2 separate regions of the Mus musculus genome follow, and region 2 is reported to be linked to region 1. The links are microRNA targets in miRTarBase. Many come from high-throughput screens and were not tested one by one. Region 1 holds a microRNA gene; the other region holds the end of a gene's coding sequence.

Region 1 (3,209 bases):
CTACCTTTTGTGTGAGCACACAAATATGATCAGGAGATAAAGCCCACTTTTCCGGCTTTCTTTCTGATGGCTCACATTACACATTCTCAGCTTTCTTTTTTGTTTGTTGATTTTTATTTTGATCACATGATTGTACAATGTAAAGCAGTCAGGTCTCCAACTTGCTATTCACCTGCCTCAGCCTCTCATTGCTGAGATTATGGAGGGTGTACTGCTACACCCAGATTATATCCTATAATCATTCTTTCTAGCTGTTCTTTAAGTATGACCTGGTATTGTTTCATCTGTAGGACAGGGAACATGATCATTACTTCATAGATATTTGTGGGAACAAATTAGTTGTATATGAAAAGTACTTAATGTTGCAGATTGGTTCTAATGTTATTTGTGTTAATTTGGCTCCTGAAATCATATGGGAGCCCACATGTCTGTGCTGAGGGTCTCTGCTCCTAGTTGGCTCTGATTGGGAAATAAAGTTGCCAGTGACCAGTGACTGGGCAGGGAGACAGAAGCCAGACTTGCAGGATTCCCCAGCAAGAAGCACAGCAGAGAAGGAAGAGGGGATTCCACAATGACAAGGGCACAAGTGACAGACTATGCAGGGAAGGTACAGGAGGGAGAGACAGCTGAAATGTAGGTACAAAGGTGTTGTGTCTGGCCAGTAGATCACAACCTGGGTTCTAGCCTGGAAAGGCATTTTGGAAACCTGGAAGAGAAGAGGGGCTGGGCTGCGCGAGATAAGGAAGGAACCAAGACAAAGCTCTCTGCTCACGGTTCAATTTTTACTATTTTGGCACTCAGTTATAAAGGAAGGGGGAAGGGGCCCAATTCCCGCCAAATAATCTTGGGATCCAGTAGCAGGGTGATCACGTGATGGCTTCGGAACAGCAAAGCGGCAGGTTCCAGCAGTAGGCGTGGCAGAAAGATTGAGCGGGAAGCTCCACCCCTGAGCAAGCAAGGTTTCAGGCTGGGGGAGGGGAGACTACACAAAGGGGAAGGTGGCCCCAGAAGGGCTGCCCAAAAGGGTTCAGGACAGCAAAGATAAAATATAGATTTAATAAATTTTAGCTCAGGAATGTGGGAGGGGAGTGTGTTAGCTATGTGGAGGTTCAGGTGAATGCTCTCATCCAGTGGTTGGATGAGAGCATCCACCATAGCAGAAACAACAATATGAACCAACCAGTAGCCCCAGAGCTCCCAGGGACTAAACCACCAACCAAAGAGTACACATGGAGGGACTCATGGATCCAGCTGCATAAGTAGCAGAGGATGGCCTTGTTGGACCTCAATGGGAGGAGAGGCCCTTGATCCTGAGAAGGCTCGATGCACCAGTATAGGGGAATACCAAGGCAGGGGAGTGGGACTGGGTGGGTTGGTGAGCAGGGGGAGGGGGATGGCAAAGGGGGTTTTCAGAGGGAAAACCAGGAAAGGGGATAACATTTGAAATGTAAATAAAGAAAATATCTAATTTAAAAAAAAGAAACATAGAAGAGCTTAACAAATTACCACAACTTAATACTCTACCAAGAGCAAATATAAACTGGCATTGGGAATAAAAAGAAAAGAATATTAAAAACAACTGGAAGAGGGGGCAGTGAGTGGAATATAAAGTGAATAAATAAAATGAATAATTAAGAGTATAAAAACAAATAGTCCATAGGAAGTGAACACTCCTAAAGGCATATATGTGCATGTTCACAAATACACCTTTTCATTGTGCTATGTCTAAGGCAGTCATCATACCTTTCAGGACCAACATACAACACAGACAAAGACACACTGTTGTACATGCATGCTGATTTGTACACAGGAGAGCACGCCTACAGATTTGCTTTTTCTCTTCCATGCCTTGAGTGTAGGACCGTTGACATCTTAATTACCCTCCCACACCCAAGGCTTGCAGGAGAGCAAGCCTTCTCTTCTCTCTCCTGTGCATAGGCATGACTGCATATACATCTACAGCAAAGACATGTCTCCTCTCTCTCATGTGCTCTCTGTGTGGCGCATATATATATATATATATACATATATATATATGTATATATATACACACAGCATTGCCATTCGCTATCTCTTCCAAGTGACTTTCCTGCCTGTAATGCCCCTCTTGGTCCGCATGTGTGTGTTCCTCCTGCCTTACCCACCATCAGTTTCATGTAGCTGGTTTGTTGTTTCTGCGTGATCCCTGGGCTGCTTTCTGTTGCTTTTTCCATAGAAAGTACCTACCTGTTGTGCCAAGAGAGTGAACCCTTCCCTGCTCCCTCTCTCACATCCCTTGCATGGTGGAGGGTGAGCTCTCTGAAAACCCCTCCCACATGCAGGGTTTGCAGGATGGTGAGCTTCAGCTTTCCTTGCTCTCTTGTGCATGGTGGACATATGCATACACAACTTCATAAAGAAAACCCCACATACCCAAGGAAACAGCCATCTGTCCTGTCTTCCACCTGACATGCACATCTCACAGTTTTCTTTCTCCAGGGAGGGCTCATGTGTCCCATGCTGCCTTTGAACTCCCTGCATAGCTAAGGATGATGATGGAGCACTTTTTTTCGAGACAGGGTTTCTCTGTATAGCCCTGGCTGTCCTGGAACTCACTCTGTAGACCAGGCTGGCCTCAAACTCAGAAATTCGCCTGCCTCTGCCTTCTCAGTGCTAGATATAAGACTGGAGTGGCTATGCCTGGCTTGATGTTCCAATTCTGATCTTCATGCCTCTTTGTCCTGAATGCTAGGATTATAGGAATGTACGCCTGGTTTCTGCTGTGCTGGGGATGGAACCCAGGGTTCTGTGAGTTCTAGGCATACTTTTATCAACTGAGTTATATTTCCAGCCTTCTTACCTTCTAATTTTGTATTGTATTTTGTACAGAGTATGGACCCTTACCTTTGGTGACAGTTATTGCTTAGAAAGAAGGGAAGTCTTTTGTCCTGGTCTTGCTTTTCCTGTATATAGGGGAGCAGAGAGAGCCTTCTCAGGACTCTCATTCTCAAGTTAGCTGGAAAGAAAGCCATCTAGCTATTTCTCATAAGCTTATGCTATGAGGAAATTTGCACGTACTTCTTTAGATGCATTTGTTCACATATATACTAGATTTCAGGGAGTGGAAAAACCCGCACTGTGTCCTGCTTTCTCACATATATATTTCTTTGTGCAGGAGAGTGTATGATAGCTTTAAGACATTTATTTGGATAGTTCTTTTTTGTTTGATA
Region 2 (3,000 bases), not on the chromosome of region 1:
TTTCAGATGCCTGTACTCTATCTAGTACGTTGGTATTCCTTCCGAATCTAGAATAAATACTAATGGAAATTGTAGGTTAGTTTCTTACTTGAATAAATGAGGCAGTCATCGTTTCACAGTTATGGGTACAGAAGTATTTTGTCAGCTTGGGATAAAGTCAAATATTCAAAAACGTATGATGTCATGTGTAAGAACATGCTAGGTGTGCTACACACATGTAATTGTAAACTGTACTGACCACACTTCTCTGATTTTGCCTTTAGAAAACCCGTTATGAGATTTATGTCAGCGTTCTGAAAGAAGGAGGCAAAGAGCTCCTGACTACCGATGGAAATGAGCCCGTGGGACTGAAGAAGTCACACTCAAGTCCCTCCCTCAACCCAGATGCATCTCCAGTCACTGCCAAGGTCAAGCGCAACGTGTCAGAGAGAAAAGACCACCGACCTGAAACACCGGGCATTAAGCAAAAAGTTACTTAGAATCCATCCGCGGCCAGGAGGTGCTGGTCATGGAACAAAATAGGGTTTTTCAAGATCTTTCTGGTAATCCGTGAATATATTTAAAAAACAGTCTGTGACTAAACGGTGCATTAGTAACCTTTTCTATTATATATTTTTGTTAGTTTCTGTACAGGTGTCTTTGCTCTTGAGTTCCTTTGCTTTGATGATTTGGACAACTTTATAACTAATGCACCTTTTGTGAGGAGGAGGAGGAGGGCTACAGATCCTTTCTCTTCGGCTTTCTCTTATTTGCACTTCTATACAGTTATTTTGTGTATTACCAATCAGTTGTTGTATTTTTTTTTAGGTTTAAATTTTTAATCCATTGTGAAACCCATAACTGGACAAGCATTGTGCTTTTAGTAAATCCTAGACTTTACATGTGAAATCCTGCCCAGTCACGGAGGTGAAGTTGAAAGTTCATAGTTGCTCACATGAAAATGGCAGCGCTGGGAGTCGAGGTGTCCCAAGATAGGACACTTCTGCGTTCTTCCTGGCACCTGTTGTTGGTGCTGGACACAGGACAAAAGGGAGCACGAGGATGACAGGACTGGAGACCTTAGGGAGGCACAGGAGTTTGTCTCAGGTGTGCATTCCATTCCAGCCATGCAAGGGAATTCAGAAGTGGAGTCATCTTGCTTGAAGGGAGCCTGAGGATGGCTTGATCCCGAGCCACTTTTGTTTTCTAAAGGCTGGTGGCAGTAATCAGCTCTTTGGAACTGTAGCAGTAGGATGTATGGTCTTCTATAGAAATGTTACCTCACTCCCATGGAATCTAGACTAGGAATCAAAATCATCTCTGTGATTGATACCTTTCCATCCAGGAATAGATTCATTTAACATAGATGTACAGGCATAGATCATGTCCTGGTTGAAACAAAACAATGTTGGAAATGAATACCACCTTCCCCCACACATACTCTTCTCTTTCTTTTCTATATCAAGACAAATAAGGAGCAACACAGATGCAGTTCTTCATCAAGATCAGGCCATCAGACGGGCTATGAAATCAGTCTGATCACAGTGACCGAGGATGGAGGGGTCTGATGTATGAGCAGCGTCTTAGCTTATTCTCATCTCCACCTCTACAGCGGTCTTGCTATGCCACTATTAAGATTGCTCCTGGAATTACTTGTATACATTTAATCTTATTTTTTTCCTGCATTCAAAATGGTTTCACTTTACAGTCAAAGCAGTCCCTTTACAATTTAAAGTATTAAGTAGAGTATTGTCTGTAGAGGAAGAAAAAGGCGTAAAAGGTGAACTTCCTCTGTGGCTGAAAACTGTCCAGTTTCCAGCCTTGAAACTGTATTCTCTAAAACTACTATCTTCCCATCAAAATATCTTCAAAAACTAACAGGATGACATTTAGATATTCTTTATTCTCCTTAAATATTTCCTCTATTTCGACTTGGTTAGTTGAAGGTACTATGACCAGAGAATCAGCTGCTCTTGCATGAATAGCATGATTCTAGTAAGTTAGAGTAAGCCTGTTAAAAAATCCCGGTAGTTTATAGAGACATCTCGTTAGGATGTACTAGCATTTAGTCACAGGACTGTGTGTTAGCCTGTACTTCTTTCACCTCTGTACATGCCCACCTTGCTTGTGCCCCGGAATAGTAACACTTCTCTCCAATACGGTAGCTGCTTGCTTCATGGTATTTTGCCACACTATTGGAAAAACTTCCCTAAACTTCTATCTTGTTTAAGTAAAGGCAGTGATTTAATTTATATCTCAGAACCATGAAGCGAATATGATAGTTAACATTGTGGCTCCATATACCTGAACTATTTCATAGCATCCTAGTGAATCCAATATTCCCCAAGCAAGTTGCCTTTCTTCTAGAAGGTGAACTATCACTGTCTGCTTTTTGCCTAAGTATTTGTAATCCCTGAAGGGAAAGGTACCAAGACCTTGGAGTCTTGAGCATCATCTTAGAGCATCAGTAGCTGAACAGTTAACATGTCTAAATGTGTTTGTCCACAGTGTGTGCTATATGTATAGAATGTTTGTGTGTACTTATGTAGAGTATCTAATATACATTGAATGGTACCTTGCTGCAGAGTTTCTGACATGGAGAATTGTCTAGGACTACCCTTAGCATTAGCTCTGCCACTGTTCCTGTTACAGGACTCACTAGTGTTGGCTCTAGAGCTTCTGGACATGCTTATAGATAATCAGATCACAAAGGCACTTTTAAAGCTGTGGACTACTCTGTCTACATCATTTATCTTGAAAAATAACTGAAGCAGTCTTTTGTGAGTCAGAATCCCAGCCTGCCCTAGTGTAATGCTGTCTACCTTTGGGGATAGGCTAAAAATGTGTCTTCCCTGAGGCCTCTGGAAGGATGCTGCATTCTCAGATCTGATGGGACTCTAAGAGTCTGGCCCATAGTCAGCCCCATTTCTCCCACAGTATTGATTCCTAAGAAATGGAAGGTGGTCCATTGAACAGCTCTGCTAAGCCTGTTGCCCAGTACACGGTACCGGGAGCTCTTGT

The links. The annotated mature microRNA mmu-miR-532-5p reads CAUGCCUUGAGUGUAGGACCGU and lies in region 1 at 1,844-1,865, shown strand. An mRNA with a match to its seed (bases 2 to 7 or 8) in the 3' UTR can be bound and repressed. Matches are read on the target gene's strand: a 7mer-m8 pairs with bases 2 to 8, a 7mer-A1 pairs with bases 2 to 7 and ends in A, and an 8mer does both.
Region 2: the mRNA of Psd3 is a reported target of mmu-miR-532-5p. Seed matches in the 3' UTR shown: 7mer-A1 at 1,352-1,358.

What each region holds. Positions count from the first base shown.
Region 1 is chrX:7,247,112-7,250,320 of GRCm38, reverse strand. Mir532 (microRNA 532) reads left to right here and starts at 1,824; the gene lies at 1,824-1,919. All of the region lies in intron 2 of Clcn5 (chloride channel, voltage-sensitive 5), which reads left to right. Mir188 (microRNA 188) reads left to right here and starts at 2,265; the gene lies at 2,265-2,332.
Region 2 is chr8:67,694,451-67,697,450 of GRCm38, reverse strand. It overlaps Psd3 (pleckstrin and Sec7 domain containing 3), which reads left to right. Exons shown (of 16, transcript NM_177698.4): 16 at 264-3,000. The coding sequence ends at 479. Among named protein-coding and RNA genes, the nearest start is that of Gm32888, 170 kb to the left of the region's middle.